3 linked regions of the Schizosaccharomyces pombe genome follow. The gene in region 1 interacts genetically with each later gene. Each region holds a gene or a part of one and is shown in the gene's direction. Other genes may lie near its edges.

What was found.
Region 2: mutations in SPOM_SPBPB2B2.19C (region 1) and snu66 together harm fitness more than expected from each alone (negative genetic interaction), as found in Schizosaccharomyces pombe (one large-scale study listed by BioGRID).
Region 3: mutations in SPOM_SPBPB2B2.19C (region 1) and erv46 together harm fitness more than expected from each alone (negative genetic interaction), as found in Schizosaccharomyces pombe (one large-scale study listed by BioGRID).

Annotation. Positions count from the first base shown.
Region 1 is NC_003423.3:4,499,587-4,510,351, reverse strand, and holds SPOM_SPBPB2B2.19C (transmembrane helix domain-containing protein), read left to right. Parts: upstream 1-5,407; coding exon 5,408-6,442; 3' UTR 6,443-6,687; downstream 6,688-10,765. Other genes in the region: SPOM_SPBCPT2R1.02 (uncharacterized protein), read right to left, coding at 1,543-1,902; SPOM_SPBCPT2R1.01C (uncharacterized protein), read left to right, coding at 2,879-3,368, 3,427-3,746; SPOM_SPBPB2B2.18 (uncharacterized protein), read right to left, coding at 6,688-6,825, 7,066-7,284, 7,495-7,565, 7,627-7,660; ftm7 (transmembrane helix domain-containing protein), read left to right, coding at 7,956-8,396.
Region 2 is NC_003424.3:1,553,132-1,558,791, forward strand, and holds snu66 (U4/U5/U6 small nuclear ribonucleoprotein complex subunit Snu66), read left to right. Parts: upstream 1-1,867; 5' UTR 1,868-2,002; coding exon 2,003-3,952; 3' UTR 3,953-4,015; coding exon of another isoform or gene 4,016-4,279; 3' UTR 4,280-4,324; coding exon of another isoform or gene 4,325-4,458; 3' UTR 4,459-4,496; coding exon of another isoform or gene 4,497-4,712; 3' UTR 4,713-4,766; downstream 4,767-5,660. Other genes in the region: protein Dbs2, read right to left, coding at 1-82; putative TIM23 translocase complex-associated motor subunit Pam17, read right to left, coding at 870-941, 1,004-1,035, 1,083-1,161, 1,250-1,660; geranylgeranyltransferase type 2 beta subunit Ptb1, read right to left, coding at 4,016-4,279, 4,325-4,458, 4,497-4,712, 4,767-4,883, 4,939-5,089, 5,137-5,190; GPI-mannosyltransferase II complex subunit Pga1, read left to right, coding at 5,539-5,660. UniProt on the Schizosaccharomyces pombe protein: Required for efficient splicing of pre-mRNA.
Region 3 is NC_003424.3:210,784-222,019, reverse strand, and holds erv46 (COPII-coated vesicle-associated protein Erv46), read left to right. Parts: upstream 1-8,496; 5' UTR 8,497-8,813; coding exon 8,814-9,986; 3' UTR 9,987-10,306; downstream 10,307-11,236. Other genes in the region: cfh1 (chitin synthase regulatory factor-like Chr3), read left to right, coding at 565-3,363; pyruvate transmembrane transporter Mpc2, read right to left, coding at 5,181-5,537; SPOM_SPAC24B11.07C (oxidoreductase), read left to right, coding at 10,989-11,236.

The DNA of each region.
Region 1 (10,765 bases):
TTACTTCAATGAGATTCCTAATTGTCAAAGGCATCAATCAATACGGTAGTATTGCGTACTGTTTTGGAATAATTCATAAGTGACAAATGTAGTTCTAATCTCAAAACAATAGAGAAGTATGAAGAAAGGTTGAATTGCAGTATTTGATTCCTAGTATCGTACTGAGTTGGAAGTTGTTGGTACGAGTAGTACTAGCAATAAATCACAGTGATATAATACGTTGTAGAAGTAGAGCATTACAATTCTACAGATAATATGAGAGTATAGTATACGAAATAATCAAATTGTAAATATATGTGATGATAAAATATTGAGTTCTACTGATCTTTTCTAATAGTCGCTTTCAATGGGTATTTTTGAAATAGACATGTAGCCTTCCGCAATTATTGGCGAAGAAATCTTGGTATTTTAGGTATGGCATATGGTGATGCACAACGAGTATATCAAGGTGTAGTGTAGTGTAGTGTAGTAATATTGCTGACGTTTACTATTGTTAGCTGATACTAATAAAACAACATTACTGATAATATAGTGTGCGTGTTATTACTTTAGTATTATCGTTTTGAATGTTTGTCAACTTTCAATGATGTAGGAACAGAAAAGCGGTAGCTAAAAATAATATCGATAGTGTTCAGTTTCCAATGGAAACTTTTAAGCTGTACTTAGATAATGAAATGATATAAGAGCAAACAGATGTATAGCTTTTTTTTTTAGGTTTTTTGAAATAAATTAATGAAGAAATATTATTGAAATTTAAACATAAATATACTAGCTACTAATAAAAAACCGACAAAATATATTGTTTCAAAGAGCAATAGTTAAACATGTAATCATTTTCAAGCTTAAAAATGGCGACATATAACCATGTTTATCGAATATGTATGTAATGTATGTAACGGTTTGCTTCTTTCAATTTTTTTTGTTATTTTTATGACTGAATGTCAAATACTTTATAAAGAAATTGTTAATCATGATAGATTCAGTCCACCAGTAGTACACAAAGTCAGCTGCCGCTTCAGTTGGAAGGAATAACAATCAATATGTCGATTCTGTGAATCTTTCCTTAGTAGGATGACTGAATGCTTTACCGGAATTAAAGGGACTGAACATTTTTTAACTGCTGTATTAAATACTACTTTTACATATCGCTGTCAATCTTGCAACAGTTACGCTATACTATTAAGACAATGAAGTTAATGCTTCTCTTAATCCTTATAAGTTTTCATTTTTCTTCATTTATCGTAGGTATTACCCTCTATGCTACATTTCCAATTTAAACTTTACACAATTAACTTGGGTTGTTTTTAATTGTTTTAAAACTTCAAGTGTTGATCTTTATTATGGACAATGGGATGCAATATTAACACCCAGATCCTCTATCACTAACACATACTCTACGCATTCCAGCAGAACCAGGTATAACGCCTGATACTTCAGGGTGGGTGTTTGCTCTTGATTGAGAACAATCATCGATAATAAGCCAAAACATCACATGCTAGATCTCAGTAAGACACGCTTTTACTACCAAAGGTTTGTATAACATTACCCCCCCCAATCACCTCTATAGTCGGCTGCTAACGTGGCTCCACCTCGGGCTCCAACAGCATTGGCTCCAGTGTCACAGTCATATGTGCTTGCCATATTTGTACTATGACATTGTGTGGTGTATCGGTCTCGCTTCTTCAGCAGTGGTAATCCATTAAGCACATCATCTGTCAAGTTGATTATCCATGTAGCATCATCCGCAGATTGAGTTACCAAAGTTCTGAGTAGAACTATCCTGGAAATCTCTCCGTCATTATAAAGTTCATGGAGATCAATCAATAACTCGTGAGTAACGTTATTAGTTGAATTGCTTATAAGCGGATTATCGATATATATATGGTTCATTAATGCAGTCATCTTGCTAGCATTATATAATTCATTTACGATATATCTGAATTCATAGTGCTGTGTAGTGTTATCTGGAGGAAATTGGGCTACCCAGATTACAGCTGGAGCGTCTTCGAGGTCAGTTGGAAAGCAACTGATTAGTGTAACCAACGATAGATAGCAACGTAACTAATAATAGCAATCTCATCGGTAAAATATTAAAAAGAGGATGAAGATAGTTCCAAATTTCTATGATATTGACGTTCTCTTGATCGCTATATATTACTAAGCCTCAGAGCATACAAACACCTACTTACTGCGGAACGAAAATAAGGGTTATAGGATAATCCTTTGTATGATCCCCTGGATTAAGCATAATCTCCTATACAATGTATGTAGGTCAACAATACTACTAAATACTACTACGTTGAATAACACCATACGTCAAGTGTTCTATATTTGCTCTATTAACTTTCCACTCTGAGTTATAGAGATAGACATATTACTAATTATGCAGGATATTTAGAAAAATTTTTAAATGCTATAAATTGAGAAAAACTGAAAAATAAAGAACGAGGTTCAGCAATAAGCTACAGCTACTTTAGTGATTAGGTAACAATTTAATTCATATATAAAAATATCAATAGCAGATGCTACTTGTATTACTGTGTACTGTAATATACTAGGTCACAAGGAAAACACATCGTACTTAAACGTATCGTTAAACAGATACCAAACTGCGTAGCTGTTAAATTGTGAAAAGAAAAAAGTTGTAAGGATTACGAGATGCCAACATCATAATGCTTTTCCTAAATAAATGAGACACCTCAGAACGTAAAACATTCACCATTTTGGTTTTTTTTTTTTAATTTTCTCGTTTATGGCTTAAAATATTTTAGTATATTTTCTTTTTTATTTTCCATAAACCACTCTTTTTAATTTTACTTTGGGGAAAAATACTAGTGAATCAGAAGTCATCAAATTACAGTGCTGTCGTTCTATTCCAATGTCAAATCCAGAAAGCTTGAAAAAACAGGTTGAACCTCCTGGTTACAATGAGTTATTTATGGTGGAAGATGTTTGTAATGTGGACCTAGAGCAGGGACTTGATTTGTGTAAGCCTGAAAAGGTAAACAAACAATCTCAACGATCTCGACAATCCCGACAATCCCTCTTTACCAACACCATTAAGCCTCAAAAAGACAAGATGAATATTAAAACAAATAAAATAAAAGAGTTTTTAAATGACCTTTTTACTGAATTTTCTAAATTCCACAATAGCTATTATCCTGATGGAAGGATTTCTACCCGCAGTAATTTTCGTTGGCCCTTGCTTATTATTTGGTCTATTATCATTGTATTCGCAGTAGACAAAAAGTTCGAAGTCCAAAAGTTTCTTTCAATTTGGATAAATGAAAATCGGTTCTACAGTGAAATTTGGGTGCCTATTGCTATTTACGTTTGTTTGCTTGTTTTAATGTTACTTAGTTTAATTTGTATGTTTCCTTTATAGTGATGCTTTTTTTCTTTTTTTTTGCTAATAATTTAAAATAGTCTTTGCAGAGTTTGCGGTACTTGCTTTACGGGTGACCGGTGTGATTATAGCAGTCTTGGGTATGATTATAGCAGTCTTGGGAATGATTATAGCAGCCCTGGGTGCAACTATAACTGGCCTTTTGTATTTTGGTCATTGGGCTCTTTACAAACTTGTAATATTGTCTTTAGGCTTTAAAATTGTGACACCAGGAGACGTCTGTGTTTCTAACACTCTTCCTACACATAACGGAGAAACAGCATTACATTCAGAAACAACAGTTGGTTCTGATATTGAACAAATAGAACTACAAAATATGCCTACTCCTGTGAAAAAATAATTTTCTTTATCGTTTTCATGATCATATAGAATATAACTATTCTTAACAATGTTCGAATTGACTGTCCTGTCCAAATCATGCACATAAGGTGCGTTCGTTATGAATTTCAATTATGGAACCAAACCAAATTATGGTTTTAATTAAGATATTATCACTTAATGTAACTAATGTTTTTATCTTTCGTTTCATAATTATTCAAATACTAAAAATGACTTTTTTATATATTTTTTTTTTAAAAGCTTAAAATATATTATATTAAATAAAAAATTTCGAATTGAACCAATTTGGACTCCCACTTGTGTTTCAAAAACTCCATTTCATCTACTTTAACCCAAAATTCAGCGTCATATTCACTACAGGAAAGGAGTTTTATTCATTATCTGTTAGTAGAAACAATTTGGTTTCAATTTTTTATGACGAAAATGCTTCGAGTTAATTTAAGGCTTTGTTTGAAATATAATTCGTTTAGTGATTATTCGCTTAGTGATTATAGATATCGTTCTAATTTTCAAATTACAAAATACTAAACAGCTTTATTTGAATAAACAGTAAAAGATTCTAAATCTTTGGACTACTTTTAAATGGTTGACAGACCAGAAAAATTTGAGAAAGAAAGTTTTATAACAAATCGTCTTATTATCTATCTTGCCTAAAAGGAGTGATCAACCTTGAATGACAGAATTTATTTTAGGTCGATAATGGTTGGACGGTGGTGTGGTGTATGCTTGCTAAGCGAAAATATTGCAGGACATAAGTTAGACGAATTGAATTTTCTACGTTATAATCTGTTCTGGCGCTTGCTCGCAATCGTAAAAACAAACTATTGAAATTAAAAAAAAAAAAAAAAGATTGGTAGTGTACATGCTGAATTTCAATCTATGCTTTAAATTAATAATTGCTAAATTCAAAAAAAAACGAATGCTATCTCTTTATCCACTGGTCATTACCAGTTTTTTTTTTTTTTGCTATATTTTTCTTTTAAAAAGCTTCTGTATTCTCGGGATATTACCAACGGCGTTATTAACTCAATCATCGAATGAAGTACGAGTACTAACGGAATAGAACTAGTCAACGGTGAATGACTTTATCTTTCACGTTCCATACTTAACAGATTTTTTATTATATTCAGTAACTTGTGCTTGTACAATTTAAATCTTGAAGTAAAGGTATGATGCGTGAACAAACCATTTATTTGTGTTCTTTTCCCTCCAATCTTCCCAATGTTTTAACGCTAACGTTATGCAACGTGGAGCACGGTAACTCCAAAACGAAAGATATAAAAGGCTAATCATTCCTGATCTGCTTTTCCCTTGAGCAAGCATCATTTACCAACTTTTTTAAAGATGCGTCTTCATAAAACACTAGCATTGCTGTTATGCAACCTAGTTCTCCATACTCTAGTTAAAGGTGAAGTAGACGCCAAAGCAGTATCTATTACTACATAAAAGGAAAACTCTACCTTGTCAAACCATAATGGACTGCCTAAAGAAGCCAAAAAGCTCACTCTTAAGTGCAGTTGGTTCATTGTGGAGGAATCTAACGGTGCCAGAATACATGCTAATTTTTTTGCACAAAGCTTCGATAAAAGAGAAATTGCTTTGTCTTTTTTTGAAGCAAATGAATGGCAAAATATAATTGGCTGGAATGATCAAGTTGAGGAGATGATTGACTTTGTAAAATCAAGAGACACGGTGATCCAAAAATCTTTTTTTGAGGAATTTAATTCCCAAAACCGAGAGATGGGATCATTTGCATATTCTGGTAACTCGGAATCGGTATGGACGGGCGAAAATATTACAAGTATATGGAAAACTATTTTGATTAATGAAACGGGTTCTTACTGCGTAGCTGCGAGACCAATGACAATGGATGGAGCTGAATTTAATTTAGACCTTATGGGGTATTCGGTTTCAGAAGATCAAATTAATAATGACGAAATTGGCATTTGGAACTATATTTCTGTAGCTGAAATGGGAGGAGTACTATTATTTTTGAGCTATTGGATATGGACTTGTTTACATTTCAGCAAGATTATATTTCCTGCTCAAAAGGTAATCTGCCTTTATATTTTTCTTTTTGCGTTAAATCAGACTCTACAAGAATGCATTGAGGAGTATGTTTTTTCTTCCGAATGTATAAAATACAGACAATTTTATTCGGTGTATGAAATAATTGATTTTCTTCGGACAAATTTTTATCGATTATTTGTGATTTACTGTGCATTGGGTTTCGGCATAACTAGAACTGTTCCTAAATATCTTATGATAAAAGGAATTAGTATTGTCATTGCTTTATGTTCTGTATACTGGATTTCTTTATATAAAGACGTATATGTAGTATCAGAGATTTTTGACATGATCCAGTATGAGGTATCTCCTGCAATTTGGGTGTATTCTATTTGTCATTTATTGAAACAATGCACGTCTGTAACAACTTACGAAAATGCTTCAAAAGCCAGATTTTTTAGAAGAATGCTAAATGCATTTATCTTTATATTCTGTGCATCTCCAATGTTGCATTACCTGTCGAATATTATATTTGGAAACTTTGATTACAGACTGTCGGTGATCATTGGTGATCTTTTCACTTTTATGGAGAAAATTGCTTTTCCATGTTACATAATGTTTCCCACCCATAATGAAGCACTTGCCTACAATCGAAATGTAGCTGAAGAGGCTCAAGAGAAAATGATTTGACAAAAACCATGGTTTACTTGATTCACCTTTAAAGGGGTTACCGGGATTATTTTATTTATTATTTGTTTATCAATGGATTAATATCCAGTTATTTTAATCTCACTTTTTTACACAGAAATTGTGTAGTAAGTTCATTCTTATTTAATATACCACCTATTTATTTTTTACAAATGAATATTTTTTTACTGGAACGTTTTAAATACACATAACCTTTGAGTCGATGTGAAATAATGTTTTGTTCAAACTTAAAAGTTGCGAATCTGACATATAGACAAAAAAAAAATAAAAAGAAAAAACTGGTTACCTTCATAAACATATTTTGCTAATTTATTGAATTTAATTATTTTCAACTTGCTTTCCCATTTTCCCAACAATTTTTTTATCTATAATATATATTTTACAAAATTAATATAGTACATCGCATGGTTTTCTTTAAAACGACATAAACGTATAATAATAAACGGGGATTCAAAGTAATAAATCGAATCCAAATCAACTTTCAAATACATCCATTTCATCTACTTTACCCTTATATTCCCCTTCATATCCCCAACAAAAAACAGGAATTTGCGAAAGTAGTAAATGGTAAAAGTGAATAAATAGAATCAAGGTTAAAAGCTTACTTGTATGCATAAGAAGATAACTCCCTCCTCTTTACTTTTGCTTAAAAACAGATTCTGAGATTCGGGACTAGCATCGGTAATATAAGTTTTTCTTTCATACTGTTGAGTACTAGCATCAGAACCCTTAATGGTAGGAAGATCATCATCATGACTACGCCTTTGTTCAATCGAGTAAACATTTGCTGGTTCGTGCCAGTCACACTGAGAACAACAAAGTACCTATTATTAAAAATGTTAGCAAGCGATCGCTAACAAGTTGAAAAGTAAACACCTCCAACTATTCCATGGAAAGCATGTAACAATGAAGATCAATGAATGGCTATTAGCTTAACAAACTTGTAAACTCAAAACAGACTAACAACGTTTGTCAGGCACTAAGAGCAATAATGGAACAGACTTCATATCAAACGCTTTCTTGAATGTTCTTACCTTATTCGTATAAACCGGAAGAACAGGCACAATGAGAACCGTTACGGTTTTCAACTGACGACATACTCGGACTAAAAACAAAAGAAAGAGCCAATTGCTTTCGAAACTACTGAACTTGTTTATTTCTCGTACCAGTCTTCTTTGAACTAAAAAAAAAAAAAAGCATTAGCAAAATGTGTTGTCAAACGGATAAAAAGAGAACAGGAAGAAGATTGCTGGAAACAATTTTAAAACAGCGAATAAAAAAAAAAGAAAAAATAATAATAATAATAAACAAAATACGAGTCGCTAATTTTTGAAACTAATCGCTTCCAACAACTGTTTCATTATAACTTCACCATTTTAATATTGTCCCCAAACAGCATGATTTAATTCTCTTTCACTAATTTCATACCACACAGGACACGTAAGTAAAACATCCTTATAATCGTCAGTGGATATCCACATATCTCGTAAATGTAATGGCATTGTTAAAAAAAATAAACACTCAAGTGAATAGAATTATGAAGAATTCGAGTCTAGTTCAAAATATTTGTTTTGACAGAGTCCCTCTATTTATACCAAGACTAAGCCTCACAGTGAAATATTGTCTAGCAGTAAAATTGCTGATTTATTTATTATATTGTTGGTACATTTACTCGGAAGTACCATCGGTTTCATCTAAATTCCGATCCTTTACATTTGGATGCGTCGTAGTATATCATAACAAATTTTTTCCTCGTTTCATTAGAACTCACTCCATTAACTCCATTAGAACGTTTTCTAAATTTCAAGTCATTATACTTTTCTCTATTGAGAAAGTCACTAGGTCAGAAAGCAAGAATCATTCTTACTCGAAAACCGATATTAGTGATCTGCACCAGGGCTATAATAATCCACCATCAAGATTCATATCACGATAACAATTCCATAGTATCTTGCTATATACGTGTAATGAGTATTCGATACTGGCTTGATTGCTATTTCTCCTTTGCTTGTAATCGTAAAATTGACTTGAAGATCTAAACCTTCTAATGCAATCATTGGAATTCTGCCTAACCTGATCAAATATGGCTTGATCGCCGTTATGTTAAAAGCAGAAGCTATGCCAATCAGTATGATTGTAACTTACAAAAAAATATAGCACAACGACATACAACATTATGGTACAATAAAGAGGACTTGATATATCAAGAACGAGGTTCAGTTTGTGCTCCGTTTATATTATTGTATTTCTATATATGACATTACTTGATGCAATCGCTTAAATATGTACTTTTGTGTAGTTATACTCGCAAGTACAGTAGCATTTTTAAAGTAGCGGTGATGTTGACGAATGGTTTGTTTCAAATCCATCCATTTCAATTTCAATTGTAAATTTCTCTTTTTCAATTATTAATCAAGTAAGTTGAAGTGTATCAGCACAATAAATTCTGACTATTACTACTCTTAAAATAAAACTCAAGCGAAACTAATTTTTAATAGCAAGTCATATTCTTAGTTTGATATGCTATCCGCTTTGGTTTTGCATTGTTATGACTTTGTATAACCTAATAAGGTGACGAAAAATCAGTTCGTTTATATTTTTGATGAGAAGAATTCACTATTATTACACAGAAAAACATTTACTTCTTATTAGATACCTTCAATATAATATATTTTTTAAATGTAATAGCGACGACACTACCCATAATTTACAATACATTGTATGGTAAACAACTGAGTAGTTGATACACCCGATTTTCATTGAGTCATACACTTTGCGCTTACTATCACTTTATTTGGCTAAATGCATAATTTACAAGCCATTCCAATATTTCGCGCACTTTTCGGACATAGTAATAAAAGCCGAGGTAGTTTCGGCGACTTGCAACATGTTTTTTTATCGTCAGCTCGGAAATAGATTTCCTGACAGAGAAAGAAGGATATAAAAATAAACATGATGGGGCAATAAATAAATATTTCACCATTTTTTATATATCATTAAGAACAATGAAGAAATATATCTCTGAAGTAAAAAATAGTTGGGAAAATATGTATGAAGATCCCGCAACACCATTTGATAATGAGAAACCAGACGAATAGATCATGAATCTTGTACAACTGGGGAAATTACATGAGAATGTATTAGATGCCGGTTGTGAACCAAATAGAAATGCTAGATATTTAGCCAGTCTTGGATATAAAGTCGTGGGTATTGATATTTCCGAAAGGGCTATTTCTAAAGCAATCGATAAAACATCTAGTGAAAAAAGTAATGTCAACTTTAATCAACGCGATTTTTCAAGATTAAATGAATTCAAGGGGCATTTCGACACTGTGATTGACATTGGTTGTTTTCATTCAATTCTAAATAGTGATCATGAGCCATACACAGCTTCGTTAAGTCATATATGTCACTCTGATAGCTCCGTTTTCCTAAGAGCGTTTAGCGAAACAAACAAATCACGTTATAGACGGTGGCAGGGCCATAAAAGGTATTCCCTCGCTTTAAAAAGAAACAATGTCAAAAAGCTTTCTTTATAAACTATTGGAAGATTGAAGACATTAAAGAAGAAAAGTCCTGCTTCATCTTCCCCTAACTAGAAAAATAAATGTTTACACATGGTTTGCCAAAATGCGTTGTAAATAGTTCATGTACATAAAATATATAAAGATGAATGGACATATACATCAATTTTAAGAACCCATTAACAAAAAAAAATTCAGACACTCAATTAGCTAGCTAACAACTGTTCTTTACGAAGAGTTGAAAGAAACTTACAACCAATGGAAACCTTAGAAATATCAAGGCTATGATGCACTAGCGAAAATCCATTAAACTGACCAGAGCTTTTAACTTTGATAGATTGGCTATTCTTATTAGAAATCGATTGTTAACATTCATGAATTCAGCATTATATTAATGGTTAGAAAGTTATGGATCGAATATAAATGCCAAAGAAAGCAGGTGTGAGGTGGTCATTTGCTGAATCAGCAGGATGGATCCATGATGGATGGGATCGTGCAAGTCTAAAGAATTCTTCTGTAGTGAGTGTTCGTTGAGGCGATCTATAGGACAAAATAGCAGAATTGTATAAAAGAACTTGGAAAAAAGTCTATTAAAATAAATTGAGTATACTTTCCATGCCTGTAATTTATAACTTGCTATCGTGCTTACTTAGAATGCTCCGCGGTGAAGCGTGCACCGCGGAAAACTTATTGCATGTATTTTCCGCGTAACTGAGATTATATACATAAGTTAAGTATTTTGTGCATTAATTTTATATTTTAACCGGACCATACAAAAGTA
Region 2 (5,660 bases), on another chromosome or scaffold:
AAACTTCGAGACGTTCTTCATCAAGTGCCGATTCCAATGATCCTGCAGATTTTCCACCACCAGAGTAAAGAGCCGAAGTCATCCTTTAACAAATAATAAATAATTCAAGTTAGTTCGCTTTAACTAACTCAAATGTATGAATTGCCCTCACTAGTTTGTTTACTTCCGTTAGGTGGTAGATACAAGGTTGCCTCGTTTTCAACCTACGAATCCTACAAATAGCGCGCAGCGAAACAACATTTGATCTCCTTCGCTAATTTATTACATCAAAACTATATTAATGTTTACACATAAAGGTTCTTGAATTTTGGAGGAGTAATCAAGTTAAAACTGATACTGTAAACTATTAATTATGTTTTCAAAGGTTTAGCTATATTCTTTTTATTTGATCAGTTTCAGTCTTGTAATTTATAAATTGAACCAATGCATTTTTTAATTGTTATTAAAATTGTGTACTGGCATGTCATGCATTACAAACAAAAATGTTATATATTTATAATCTTCTAATATCTGCTTCTAATGGTTTTACCATGTCAGTTGTACAACAATCATAGAACAGACGGCAAAAGCTTGTTGCAAAAGATAAAATTCAATAGCAGGAGTGACATGTACAACAAATTATGTAAGAAATTGTATGCACGGTAAATTATAATTAAGATAATCATTACTAGAATTTCTCTACACATGGACAAAAACACTTGCTTGAGAAAAGTCTGTACTATAAGTTGAGACTATACAGATTTCAATAGATGAACTTCTTTTCACAAATACTGATACGGCAATGCTTCTGTATCCTTTTAGTTATCGTGTTAAGAAAAGAACCTCATCCACAATTCTATATGACAAGCTATCACTTCAACACTTCTAATTTAACGATTGCTTGTACGCCAAAATGCCCGTTGTATGTAAGCCTTCTGATCCCTCAACCAACGTCGATAGTCCTTTGCATAAAAGTTAGTAATCAGTGTACAAAGTAAATGAGTAGATAACACATATCACATACAGAAAGGGAGTAAATTTTCTCACCGTAATAATCTAATTAAGAGTTAGACATCAATCATGACGCAGCCTTCACAGCATACCTGGGATAGGATTAGAATAGCTTTCCATTTGAGGTGTAACCCTGTTTTTAACCAAGTGACGGTAAAATTCTTGTTCTCTCTAAAAAATTAAATATATTAGAATACTTTCAGAAAACATAGTCCGTAGATGCTAACATAACCCCTATTATCTAAGGGAATGAACGTACCGCTGCAATTTGTCTCGCTTGACTTTTATGAAGCAGTGTCCATATTTTTCTACCTATACTAGGGCCCAAAAGCCATCCAAGCCCTCCGGATGCAATAGTTCCAATAACATATAGAGTAAATAGATCAAGACCCATAATAGTCATGGTAGGGTCAACAGTACGCGTAAGAAAATAGGCGGATCCTAATCCTAGTCCGGTAAGTGCAGTAGGAATAGAAGTTAAGGTTTCAAAAATCCTTCTGCTTTTTCTTAATTTCAGGAATGTGGGCCAATTTAAATCTTGAGGTTTCTTCTGTTTTATAGACTCAGTGGAATAAGTTTTTACATTATAACAAGTTTTCCATAAAGTTAAAAATATTTTGGGACTTTGTAATCTTTTTACAACTAGACCAGGCCGTATAATAGGTATCATAACGAATCCTTGCTTGTTGGAAAATGTATACTTCATATACGTATCGCCTCAATTGCTCTTCTCTTTTTAACGTATTTTGTTTATTATTCCTTAGCAAGCGCGGACGCATACTAGGAAACGCAACTTTTTTTGAAAGTACGCTAAAATAGCTTAGTGAGATATAAATGAGAGTTTAAGTAAATTATTTGAAACAATATTACGGTTCGTGTATTTCGCCATTCTCCTATTTTATTCATATCCTTGAGTCAGTTGCAAGTTTAGTGTATTTTTTTATTAAAAATCCATATTATTATTTATTTATCAGCATTTGAAAGTCTGTCACTTGCTGTTGGATTTAGTATAATGTCTGGGAATTCAGGCGCCTCTGAATCGATTTCTATTGAGGAGACCAATAGAATTAGAATTTCGCTAGGCCTCAAACCCTTAGATATTTCAGAAGAAAAACCTCAGAAAGAACTTTCAGATGCTTCAGTCAAGTCTTCGTATGTCGATCAAGAACAACAGGCCTATGAAAATTGGAAGAAACAAGAGCAGGAGGAAATAAATAGGAAGAAAGAAGAAGAACTGAAAAGCAAATTTGAAAAATTACGGCAAAAGAATGAACGAAGACGCAGAACGCAAGGAAAAACACTCGCTGAAACATTGGCAGAAGAGGATGATCAAATCGATGCTAACGATACTCGAGCGTGGATACTCAAAATGCGTAATTCCTCATTGAATAAAAATGGCAATGGATTGAATTTTGAAGCGAAGAATGACGCCCCCAGAAGATCCACTCTACATTCGCAAAATGCTGGTCCCAATGTGAATAGCTCATTAGAAGGAATGAAAATAGCACACGGTTTTCAAGATTTAAACAAGAACGATGGTCTAGTCCTTACATTGAAAGATGCTGATATATTAGACGAAGATAATCATGATCTATTAGAAAATGTTGAAATGGTCCAGCGGAAGACTAAAAACGAAAGGAAGGAAGATAACCCCTACAAACCGTATGAAGATGAGAATGATTTTCTTCAACAGTCGGAAGCAGATCAACCGTCTGAAGATACTTTTACGACCATTGGTCCACAAAATAGTCTCACTGTTAATTCTACTATAGAAAAACATAAATCTGATAATAAAAAAACTTTTGGGACTCTTGTCTCTTTCGTTGAACCAACTATCACTGGCAGCGAACAATCAGATTATCGACAAATAAAGATTAAGAAGTCAAAAAAGAAAAAGTCAAAGTCTGATCGGAGAAAGCGTCTAGTAGAACTTGATGCAGAAAATGAAAATGAAAATGACCCATCTGATTTCGTGCTACCGAATGGTCAGAGTAACAGTGATCTGTCAGTTGAGCAAGATTCGGCTATTTTCAAAGAACAAAAGAAAATGAAGATTCAAAAGCGTATGCGCGAATTAGAAACACAGTCGTTTGCTGATGATGATGATTTGCAACAGTCAATTGCAATGCAGAGGAGGCTAGCTCAAAAAAGAGCGAAAATACTTAAGCCAGAAGATGTAGCTGAGCAATTGCAGAATGCCGAAGAAGTCACAGATATGACGGACTCGGACACGGCTTCCGGTTTAATATTTGATGATACGCGTGCTTTTGTTAATAGCATAAAGGAAACTGAAAATCGAGAAGCTCTTGGTTCCATAAATGAACAAGCATTTGAAGATTCCAAAGATTTGAACGATACCAATAGTATTACTGGAAGTTCTCCAACTGAAGAAAGTAATGCTTTAGTGGAAGACACCTCGGTTGATATTTCTGCAACTCTCGAAGAAGCCAATACGCAGCAGGAGAATGCAGAAGATGAGCCACTTGTCTCTGACAATGTTGGTGCAGTTCTAAGCCTTCTCCGGAATAAAGGCGTAATTAAAGTGTCGGATGAAGCGAAAGAGAAAATACAAAAAGAAGAAGAGTACAATAAATGGTTTGCCAGAAAACAGCAAGCCAGAGTTGAACTGGAGGAGCAACGTAGAAAGAAAAAAGAACAAGATCGTCTCAGCGGGAAATTTGAAAAAATGACTCAGAAGGAACGTGAACAGTATGCAAAAAAAGAAAATGAAAGATGGGATAAAAAAATTGCGGAGATAGAGCTTGAACAATTTCATGATTATAAACCTCAGGTGGACATAAAGTATGTTGACGAGTTTGGTGTGGAACTTGGTCCCAAAGAAGCATACAAATATTTGTTGTCTCATCAATTTCATGGAAAAGGTTCAGGTAAAGCTAAAACAGAAAAGCGTTTGCGTCGTATCGTTGAAAAGGAACGAGAAGAACGCAAGCCAATTTTCTGAAAGTACATATTTTATGTTTTTATTTTTTTAATTTATGGTTATGTGGTAGTAATAATGCATCATTTATAATTTCATTTTTTGAGTGACTTCTAAAGGCAGACAAAAACGAGGGTCAACGGGTTCTATGTTTGGAAACTGTAATAGTGATAATCCTGCAAGAGAAAAACATGTGTGATAAACGTCTGTGGCATCCTCTTTTCGGTCTGCAAACCCTCCGCTGTCTGCATCTTGTGTACCTAGAAGAAAATCAATAAGCTGATTACGGTCTATCCAATCTAATTTTCCAATAATTGCTAACGGTGAGAGATCCCACCAACCGTAACAGGACTAGAACTATTAGTAAACATGCTAGACAAAGAGCAATCTTCGTACATCAGGTAACTTTTCAGGGCGACCATTTAATCCACCTCCTTTAACTTGCCGTTCACTAATCCACCAACCCAATAATTCTTCATCAATTAAATCTAACTTGTTGAGAATTTTGAGAGCGGCAACACAGGTAAAAACTATTAGGTCAATAATTGGGTTTTGAAATTAAACATACCCATCGCTCCATGTGACTCAGCTCCAGGACAGAGTCCAAACCCACCATCAAAATTATAGCATTTCATTAACCAATCCACGGCAGTATTTTTATTAAGATAGTCCAATTTACCTAGTATTGCCAGACAATTTATTCCAGAATATAGAAATCTAGCGTCTATCTCTCCCCAGCGGTCTCCTTTCATAGAACCATCTTCGTTCTGTAGGCCAATAATGTCTAATTATTTATAAATTAGTTAAGGATCGCATGTACAAATACAAAGAAACTTACAAGAAGCAACTTTATCTTTGTCAACGACATGCAAAGAGTCCAACATTGCTAAAACTTGTACAGCGTATACTGTATTCGTAATGTGATCATCGTGTCCTGGATAACAAGCAAATCCGCCTAACTCATTGTTAGCAGCCCGTATCAATATTTCAGTATCAGTAATATAACTAACCGCTTTCTGTCAAACAAGACAACAGAAACGATACAATACGTTCTTTGTCAATTTGATCTTTCTTCTTCAATAGCCAGAAGCTCATGCAACTCCAATATATTGCGCTGACGTGTAAATGCTCCTTCAACCAGAAATCCAGCTCATCAGTTCGCTGTTTGTAAGAAAATTGAATTATTAAACTATTTTCTTTTCGCTTACATTTCCAATATCGTGTAAGTAACTTATGTGCTTATCTCTCAGTAAAACTGCCATGTTTTGAGCAATTGTATGAACAGGTAGACGGTTCGTTATGCAATGGTTGAAAACTGAGTGTAATGATCAGTAAGATCTGACAGTTCACGATCCTTCCTCTTTTTGAAATTAAATAACAGCTTTAGATATATAGAATGCTTGTGCTGTAATGTATTACTTCCATTTACGAATGTGGTGGAATAGCACATTAACCAACTAGTTCTTCCTTGACATCCAATCGGTAATGAATTATTGGAATAACCATTCCATCCTTTATATTAAACAGAGATAATAATTAATAAATCCATAAGGTTTCATCTCTGACTAAGAACCAAATACTTGGAATTGCTTTGACCTGTGTTTTTCCGAATGCGAGAGTTCAGGCTTATATTCGTACTTCTTTTCTTCTTGCCCTCATTTGCAATAGCAAATACGGAGATTATTAACGTAGAAACTGGAGATTCTAATAAACTGTTGACCTCGAACTCTGT
Region 3 (11,236 bases), on another chromosome or scaffold:
AATTTAATGACCCTTGTTCATGGTATTTTTATAAGACATCTACTGTTATTAACTATTTTCGAAGATACTGAGCTTCGCTTTTGATGTTTTGACATTTACAGTACTGTCTTTTACTATTGCATTTCACTTTCGAACGGCATTTACATTACAATTTGCGAAAGTTATCACTTTAATTTTATGATGTTTATTTGGAAGTATCCTTTTTCATTATATTATATTATATTTTTATTTATCTTCCACTATTTTATTCGTCAATATTCAGCTTTCGCCATTTATATAGAAGAACTTGCAATTACCAGATAAATTATGTAAATCATTTACTTGATAGGGAAATAGACACTATCTGCAATTTAATATCTTGAACCATTTTTACTATTTTGGAAAATTTTTGTTTTCGTGTATTATTTGTTGTTTAGTGAGCTGTAAGATATTCGTTTTGTTGGCAACAGCAGAAGAGCTGTAACATTCATCAAACTGCGATACCTCATTATCCTCGTTTCTTACTGCTTTCCTCCTAAAGCGTCTACCTTTTGCTCTTTATTTCACTCGTAAATTAATCTGTTAATGAAAGATTCACATAGCTCTCGGAGGAAGTATGAGAAGGAAAAGTTGGTATTCGCAACGAATAATGGAAAAAGAACAGAGGGTACCCCAGCTTTTTTAAAAAGCGGTAACACAGCTTCTTCATCCTCCCCTACTCTTCAATTTCGTCCTACATCGAGATATCCGACATTGAGCCATGAACCAGTGTATACGAATGTTTTGGACCTGTCTTCAAGGATTGACGCGAACAGGGCTAGTATAATGAGCGCTACAATGGGTACTCCACCTTCAGCATTGAAATTCTCCAAGAAAAAAATATCCCGGCCTGTTGTTAGTGAAGATACCTTCAAAGACAAATTGCCGCGTGCAACCATACCGGTCAAGCCGGAGCCACAGCCACAGTATAAAATTCCAGCTGCACCTGCTCCTACAAGCAAACGTGTAGTTAACCGTGGGTTAAAGCTGAACACTAATTTGAGACAGGCTTCTCCTATTTTGCCTTCACCTAGTTTAAAGTTGGATCGGCAAGATGCCCCAATACAAATAAATCATGAGCAGAAAGAAGATTTTTTGGTTTCTATTCCGCGACCAACGCCAATGACCAATTTAGATGATGGAAAGGATGAGATTGGACAACCGGATCCTCATAGAAAATATATGGCACCTCCACGTGTTAATTCTATAAGTCGTGTACAGCGTCGTATGAGTTACATACCATACGGTGGGTTTGATGACTTCTTAGATAACTATTACAAGGATGACGATACTGTACTTGAAGACAATCAGCTTAAGAGTAACTCTCGAATAGAAACTTTGGAGGAAGAAGATGGAGCAGAAAGTGACTCCATCACAAATACAGTTTCTAATGCTTCGTCAGATGCAGAACCTGCTCATCGTCATTTGGGACCAGTTTATGAAAACTCTGGACACCTCCCTTCAAAAAGTCACTTTTCATCAACCGACTCGAATACAGATTCATTCGGGTTAGAAAGCGATGAACGTTCGCTTCCTTCAGTTTCTAATGACTTAAAATCATCCGAAACTTTGAAAAATCCTCGAAATGATGATTTGCTTACACTTCAACAACCACCTCGTTATCCACATTCTCAAATGGTAATGCTACCAGCTCGTTCTCCAGTTGAGGTTCCTGCTCCTACATTTGATCGTAGAAATGTTTCGAGGAACTCGAATAATAACTCTCCCGAAGGTTATGATAATAATCGCACAAACCCAACTGTTAATAATTTACCTTCATATCCTACAAACCTTGCACGTCCTAAGGCAATTAAACCAATGCCTACTTCTATACACGGTCAAACAAGTCCTTTATCGCCAATTCCTCCGGTACACACAACCCATGGGTTAGTTTCTGACATTCGTCCTCTCCCTTCTGTTTCTTCCCCGATAATGCGTGCTGATAGCACACCGATTTCACATAACTTAGCTGTGACACCTTCGTTTTCCCCTATTCCACAGCAAAGTAATAAGTCTATTGGTAATCACAAAAATACATCGGTTGCTAATGTATCATCCAAGGTTGCTAATTCCAAGTTTGAAAGGAATATATCTATGATGTCTAACAGTAATGCTTCTTCACCCGCTATTTTTGAAGTGGGTGCAGAAGCAAAAGAAAAGACGAAGGATGCGATTCCTTGTCATCCTGATGATAAGTTGATGATTCCGTCACCAAAAATTGTGACGCACGGAGACGCTATGCAAGAAGAACAGCGTCTTCGCCAAAAATCTCAAATCACACCTGATGACGAAGTTGAGTTGGCAAAAGTTTATTTGAATGCATTAGAAACTTTAGAAAACAAGCCGAGCTTAGCTCCCGACCAGGCTAGTTATAATACTCGAATCAATGTTTATCGAACCAGAGCTGTTGAACTTTTAAAAAAGAATGCTTATCCTAGCAAAACCCAGAATACTGTACCCGAAGCTCTGTTTTTAATAGGACAATTTCACAGTCAGGGGGTATTAGGATTTAGACGCGATTTGGGAAAAGCATTTGAGTTGTACAGCCTTGCAGCTAAAAAAGGACATCCTTTGAGTAATTACAGAGTTGCTGTTTGTCTTCAAACTGGTACCGGGGTTAAGCCGGACACTAGTAAGTGCGTTGCCATCTATAAAAAGGCAGCTGAAATGGATGTAGTCGAAGCTATGTTTCGTATCGCTCTGATTTACTTAAATGGTTTGTTAGGGCAAAAACGCAATATATCTCTCGGTGTGCAATGGCTCGAACGTGCATGTAAGTCTAAGGGGCCCGAATCAGTTAGAGCTATGTATGAACTTGCAAAGATTTATGAGCAACCGGATCGTTACGGAGTATCTGCAACCCCTGAAAGAAAGTTTGAACTTTACAAACAATCAGCTGTCTATGGCTACGCTGCCGCCCAGTGTAAACTTGGGGAGTGCTATGAACACGGTTTATTAGGGTGTTTAGCAGAACCTCGACGCAGTATTTTTTGGTACACGCGTGCTGCCGAACAAGACTATGGCGAGGCAGAACTAGGACTTTCCGGTTGGTATTTAACGGGTTCAGAGGGTATTTTGCCTAAGAATGGAGAAGAAGCTTTACTTTGGGCGCATAAAGCGGCTTGCAAAGGTTTGGCTAAAGCTCAGTATGCTGTTGGCTTTATGATGGAACAAGGCATTGGTGTTGCTGCTGATCCATCCTCTGCTCATAATTGGTACATTCGTGCAGCAAAGCAAGGATTCCCTAAGGCCAAAAAGCGCCTTGAAGAACAAGCCTTATCTAGTAAGCAAACACATTCAAAGGCACCTAAAAAAAAGCAGCAAGAGCAGTGTGTCGTAATGTAGATGCATTTTTTTCTACTAATACGGTTGGCTAATGTCTGGTTAGTCCTTGTTGTTTTTCCGAATGTTTTCATATAGTTTGTATATTAACAGCATGCTATCAGAATACTTTGGCGTTGCATAGAGCTTATATGATTTTGTTAGCACGGTTACTGTTTTTTTTTTCTTGCTTCTCTTTGTTTTTATTTATCACCACCACCACTTTTGATTTTGGTATGTCATTCTTTGATTAAACTCTCTTTCTTTTGTTTGTCGCATGTTTTGCTTATAGTTTTCTTCCGTTAAATCATATTTTTACAAAAATTTTCTATTCTGTATACATTTTCGTGATTATTATATACTTAGGTAAATGGCACGGAAATATACAAAAATTCAAATTTCATAAGTGTTAATTATTTACGGCATAAACAACAACAATAGTCGTGTAGAATCTCCATATCCACAGAATAATAAGTAGTAGGTAGCATTCATACAAATGCTGAAAGGTTGTGTAAACAAATACTTATTACGTAGTTACTTTATTAATGCTTTCAGTATAAATCCACGATGCACATTTGGATTGAAGCAAACTGAATATTAAAAAAAAAATAAATAAGCAAAAACCGTTATTGTACAGAAATAAGCTATTACTAAAAAGTGAAGTTGGAACGGAAGACACTTTCGCCTATCAACCAGACGTATGACAGTAAAAAAAATAAAAAATCCTGACCTAAAGAGTATTTTATAAGAATAGAATTAATTATTAAAAGTTCATTTCAAATAAAACATAACATGTAGTAAAACTTTTCAACACGACATGAAAGAACAAGTACCACAGACACAAAACCCAATCCAGCGGTTGAAATAATCACAATCCGAAACTTAAAATTTCACCAATTTAGTTATAAAAACATTCCCTTTTCAATTCATTAAAGGTTAATGTCGAGCATTCACCCAACCGCATATTTTATAAAGCAAAATAACCAAATAAAATCAACATAAGGATCTTATTTCCAAACCTTTACAATTTTTTCAAGGCATTTCAAATAAAATATGAAACACCGAGTATGTTATACTTAAGACAGAAACGAAAGTGCACTCGTAGGGAGGGGCAGGAAATGCTTTGTAATATACAAAATCATTTAACCAGACAGCCCGGGTTGCGATATGCAGTACATAAATAGGTCAACGGAAAAGAATGGGAGAAAAGCCTATAAATTAGCAGAAACTATTTCCTTCATAAATATATCACTTCTGCTTATAATCTGATAGTATGTTCCCAAGAAATAGCGACCTGACAAATACCCCAAAACCGATAATACATGAACTCCATTTGAAAGAGAAAAAAACGATATTTTTTTAAAATCCCCGCAAATAAATAACTGCTTTAAAAAAGAAAAGCAAAAAAAAAGTCAATTCAACAAAATGACGGACAAACAAAGCAATGTGAAAACAAGAAGACAAAAGGAATTTTACTTGTCGTCGACTCTTTTGGGAATTTTTTAATAACAATCAAACCAACAAAAGAAAGTAAGGTTTGACAAATAGGGGTTAAGTTGTCGAAAAAGGAAACTTTACAAAGTATAGAAAAAGTCACTTAAATTTTAATCTATACGAAAAATTGTTGAAGACTGCGCTAGTAACGTATGCAATAAATCAAACCAAACAGAATGTCTTTTCAGATGATTAGGAGGACTGTTATTCCTTATTTATTTTTCTCGGCACAAAGGTGAAAGAAAGAGAAGAGGGATCATTTTGTTTCCCCAATATCCATCCACTCATCCTTTCCATGTTTTTTATTTTTTAGGGGAAACAAAAGTAAGTTTTGTCTGAAATTTTTTTTATGCAGCAAGGCTTCGGGCCAACTCGGTACGTTGCTCACTTTGAGCGGTGATGCGTTTTTGTTGTCGTTGATATACAAGAATCCTTGAAACTTGAACGGCACCAACGATGGCCAAGAAAAAGTTGACAGTAGCATTAAAGTAATTTTTAGGACGAACGATCAGAGACCACCGAGTCCAAATAGCACCAGTGGCACACAAGGCGGCATATTGACGAATAGAAAGGTATTCTGGGGAACGGGCATAATCACCAATACCAGAAAGGACTAAAGTCCATTTCATGGCAGGAGCCCAAAAATGAACAGTCTTGGGACCGGCAGGGTGATTCCAAAAGCGTTTAAAGCCAGCACGAAACATTTGAGTATATGAGAAAATAAAAAAAATTGGAGGAAAAAATAAGAAGGAAAAAAAATATGTCTCACAGGAGATAAAAAAAATAAGTCAATACTTTTTGTAGGGTTAGAAATCGCAACTTTTCCTGCAAGGTCTGATCTTATCGTTGATGAGAGGAATGATAAGAAACCAATAATGAAATGAAGGAAAAAAAAGATAAAGGAATATGAAAGGGAACAAAAAAGATAAACGGAATGATGGATGCTAATAAGCTTAAGAATAGTCACTACTTTGTAAGACGAAACAATGTGAATGATATGTAAGATGGTAGTGTGAAAAAACCGAAAAAAAAAAAAAAAGCAAGAGACACAAGAACTAGAAAACAGTTTCTCAAATCAACTTTATTGTATACCGTTACTTTTTATATTTTAGTTTCAATCGAGGAAAGCTTGAAATTTCGCCAACAAATAATCCACACGAATATCGATGCTAAGTTGGTGTATACGTACTAGGGACGAATGTGTGTGTGTGTATTTATATGTAAGCTCGGGAAAAGAGTGATATGAGCAAACGAGTCAGATTTTCGTACGTCCACGCAAAAGCACGTAGTAGAGGATAGTGAATGCAAATTAGAATGTGATAAGGTAAAAATAGAGAAAAGCAGCAAGCTAGCTTTTATTTGAAGATTAGGATGGCGTAAAGAAAGGAGAAGAAAAAGAATGGGAACACTAGGATTTGTATATTTTTCTTTTTCTTGTGTTTTCGGTTTCACTGTTATGAATGAGAACTAGTAAGAATAAACACAGAACAACAAACGCTATGTATGAATGACTAGGATGTATGTATTGGAGCGCAAAGCCTGCCTTGTATATAAATTGGATCACGCTACCGTAATGTTATCGTTGCACTGATCAAAACAAATTTTCCTACGCTAAACGACCACCGCAACCAAACACTGATTTGAGGTTGATTAACTATGATATCGATGGCACAAGCACCCAACGTTCCAAAGCTATTGATTGCCGTTACCGAGCCGGAAAGGAAGCGCGAGGTAGATCGGGAATGTAAGTATGTGACAACAGACTAGAGCGAAGGAAGGAACGAACGTTTTAGAGCACCAAAACGAAACCGCGTTTTATTGATGTTGTATATGAGGAAAAAAAAAAGATTTGGATGAAGGAAACGGTCACAATATCGCTTCGGAATGTAGATACACAGCAGTAGCAATGCAATTGTACACAAATTCAGTAAAATATGTAAAGTCCGCCTGGACGGGGGAATGCGAAAATAAGGCAGTGTGTAATCGCCGAAATTGATTAGCAAGCAAGTAATTGTCAGTGAATCCATTAGTCAACGAAAATGCAAGTGGGAAAAAAATAATTGAATGAATGGATCCATTCATTCAATTTATTATTTATCCCTTAAAAGAAAAAACTCTTTTGCTTATGATGTCCAATTGTTTACAAAAGCATCGGTGGAAATAAAAGCGCAAGTGCAGTATAACAAAACATACAAGCATAACCAACCTTACAAGCGCTGTGTGTCTTGCCTTGCAAAACCTCTATTGGGATGTACACCTAAGAAGGACTCTACTTAGGAAGGTGAAGGTTGTGGGGGTTTGGGTTCTTTGGGGGCCACTTCAGGTTATCCTAGATAAAAATATTCGGTGCTCTCTGTTGATGATTTGATGATGATTGCCATAAGTTCAATCAAGCTCCGAAATTCCATACCACTGGATCGCCAAGTGCAGTACATGAGGATAGATAGATTGGAAGCGACGGTCGAGTAGATATCGGATGGCCGAATGGGCAGAGAGTGTTGGTCGATAAAAAAGGTGGAGGAACCTCCAACTAGTACATTTACGAAAGGGTTATGATGGGAATGAGCAAAAGGTGGTCTCTCCTTGCAGGCAAAGAATGAGGAGGAAAAGGAGTAACGAGAGGTTCCTCTGACATTTGTGTGGATATGCACTCATGTGATTACAATTACCCTTTCCTAAACCCGATCTGTGCTTACACTTCGTATTGTGAATGGTTGTGAATTACTTAGGCATACATAGTGCACCATGAGAAGTCAGCGAAACAAGGTTGGCCCAATATGGAGAACAGCCATACGCACGAGTGTGTTGGAGCGTCTTTTCTGCGATTGCTGACCAAATAATGAATTAAGCTTTTTTTAGGATGGCGAAAAATGGGGAAAAGACATAGGATAATGACTGATGTACATCAAGGGAAACTCATCAAATCGCACAAGTTGCCGGATCCTGTGTCTCCCAAATACCCATTTACAAGGCATCCTTGTACATCTTTCTTGTTAGTTGCGCATCATAACGAAACCAGCGGTGCTAGTATACAAGGTATTTGGTTAAACAGTGTTGGCGACGGTGATGCTTGAAATTGAGTCATACATTGATGGTATCCGTATTAGACATGCTAAAAAAAAAAATTTGTAGTAGCGTTGCGTTTATCCCATAGTGTTTGGTTTAGGTTTATATTAGAGAAGCTTGGATTCCGCTTATTCAACAAGCGCTTATTCGAAAGTGCTTAGATCGCATAAGCGCTTATTGAATAAACTGTGTAAACTCAATAGGTAGTTCGGATTGTGCTTGCTAAATAGTACTTGGATTGTTTTTTAGTCAATAATACTTAGATTTTGTTTAAAGACAATAATACCTGGAACGTATACGCACTTATACTTGAACTATATTTACTCAATCACACTGAGTTGTACTTAATAACACTGAGTTTTCCTTTCAAATTACTATTTGTCTTCTCTTTTTTAGTTAATTGATCTACTTTTTCCTCGGCGTTTACATTAAACTCCACGTTAAAACTGAAACGCCTTTTAGGCTCCCTTAGAATACATTCCATTTGAACCCATATATATCTGATTTTTCAATAAACAATCATAATCCCTGTCAAACTAATTCAATCCCTCTTTGCACCTCTGTCTATTAACCTACTTCTAGTCCTGCGCTTGGGTTGACCCTCAACGTATACTTTCCCCGACTACCTCAAGCCCCCTTAGTCAAGTTGTTTCGACAATTTCCAAATATTTCATTCTGGGAATGATCGTTTTTCAAGTTCAAGCACATTATTTTATATAAGATTTGGTGGTCAGCATTTCACAAAGCTCTAACATAACCGTGCATAGTTGGAACCACTGAGGTGGGCCCTTCTAATCCTTTAATCCAAAAAAAGTATTTTCAAGTTGGTTCAAAGAACTGCTTCTCCATATAATCGTTTTTTTCCTCTGTATTATTGTTACAAAAACGTATCTATCGACCGATAGTTTCAAAAAATGCAATTCCGTTCACCCCTTAGGCGTTTTGATGCCTTTCAAAAAACTGTCGAAGATGCTCGCATAAAAACTGCTAGTGGCGGTCTTATAACACTCGTTTCCGGACTTATTGTCATTTTTATTGTTCTCATGGAATGGATCAATTACAGGCGAGTCATCGCAGTCCATGAAATCATCGTCAATCCCTCACATGGCGATCGAATGGAAATCAATTTTAACATCACCTTCCCCCGTATCCCTTGTCAAATACTTACTGTCGATGTCTTGGATGTCAGTGGTGAATTCCAGCGTGACATCCACCATACCGTTTCTAAAACGAGGTTGAGCCCTTCGGGCGAAATTATAAGCGTTGATGATTTGGATATTGGAAATCAACAATCTATTTCTGACGACGGAGCCGCTGAATGTGGTGATTGTTATGGGGCAGCCGACTTTGCTCCTGAAGATACCCCAGGTTGTTGCAATACCTGTGATGCCGTTCGAGATGCGTACGGTAAGGCACACTGGCGAATTGGTGACGTTGATGCCTTTAAACAGTGTAAAGATGAAAACTTTAAGGAGCTTTATGAAGCTCAAAAGGTCGAAGGTTGTAACTTGGCTGGTCAGCTCTCCGTCAATCGAATGGCCGGTAATTTCCACATTGCTCCTGGACGATCTACTCAAAACGGAAATCAGCATGTTCATGATACACGTGACTACATTAATGAACTCGATTTGCATGACATGAGTCACTCCATCCATCATCTTAGTTTCGGCCCTCCTTTAGATGCGTCTGTCCACTATTCCAATCCTTTAGATGGAACAGTGAAAAAGGTAAGCACTGCCGATTATCGCTACGAATATTTTATTAAGTGCGTTTCCTACCAATTCATGCCTTTGTCTAAGAGCACACTTCCCATAGACACAAACAAATATGCTGTCACACAGCATGAACGTTCTATTCGTGGCGGTCGTGAAGAAAAAGTCCCTACCCATGTTAACTTTCATGGCGGAATCCCTGGTGTATGGTTTCAATTTGATATTAGTCCTATGCGTGTTATTGAACGTCAAGTACGTGGCAATACCTTTGGTGGATTTTTGAGTAATGTTTTAGCTTTGCTTGGGGGCTGCGTTACACTTGCTTCGTTTGTTGATAGAGGCTATTATGAGGTTCAAAAGTTAAAGAAAAATTGATCAGATTGTTTATGCACTAAATTTGTTTTGTTTTGTTTTTCGTTCTTTTCTTTTCTTCTGTTTGGTCCTATCGATCAATGTAAATACCATCGGTTTCCATGGCAAGTGCCTGATTTGTAACTTTAGATACTCTATTTCCTATACTATTCCAAATTGATACCACTTGATATTTCATGACTCGCTTATCAATCACAAATTGCTTTTAGCCTCGTTTAGCAAACAACCACTCGCTATATTCACATTGAAGAGCATACGAACCACGCACTTTCTTTCCCTACATCTCAATTCATTTCTTTTAATGTTAAACTCGTCTTCTTTCTAATTAAACATACAAAGATAAAGATCTTTCTATCTGGTGTATTCAATTTTACAAGGACATATAGTATTAGATATATTCGCTTTCCGAACCTAAAGTATTGTCTTGATTCTATAGCATTTTAAATAAAAAGGAAATTAAAATGAATTGAATTGTCTTAAAGTATTAATAAAAATAAGTATTATTTGTAGTACGAGTGATCAAAATTTTTTTAGTTTTTTTTTAGTGCACTCCAAGGAAGATCGTGCCAAGCGGAATGGTATGAGTTGTCATATCCATACACGCTCTTCTACCATAAGCATAACCCCGAGACCGACAATCATACGTCTTAGAAGCCACAAGGAAAACCGATCGTTTCCATTGGAAACCAATTTCCCTTTTCCAAATACATACATTTACAATTAGCGCTCTTTTGTACGGTGTGATCCTATAGAAACGGTTTCGAAAAATAGCAAACCACAATTTGCTGCTTTGGATAAATCACTTTTAGAAAAGCTTTCGATTTACGTGTGAAAACGGTTTTAGTATAGTCGTTATTAGAGCTGCATGGAATCGTGGAGTTTATTAAAGATTTAACAAACGAATTCAACTCGAAAAAAGAAATCCAAAACCAACGATTGAGTTTTTTTTTTAAAGTGTAAATATAATTTTTTTTTAAGAAGAGTCATTTTTAATTTGCTACTGAAATGACTGACGCAGGAAAAAAGGAGCGTGTCAGCATTTTGTGTGTTGGTAGCCCTTCCATCACGACTTTATTAGGTTGGAGGTTACAGCAAAGCTCAGTTGTGACATGCCAAGAAACTATAATGTTTTTCAATGCCCCCGAGCCTTCTACTAACGTCTTCACTATTCAATCGAAAAAATTCGGAACTCGTAAATACCGTCCGACGTATCGTTTATCTAAGCTTGAAGAGGTTACCTCTGATTCTGAGCC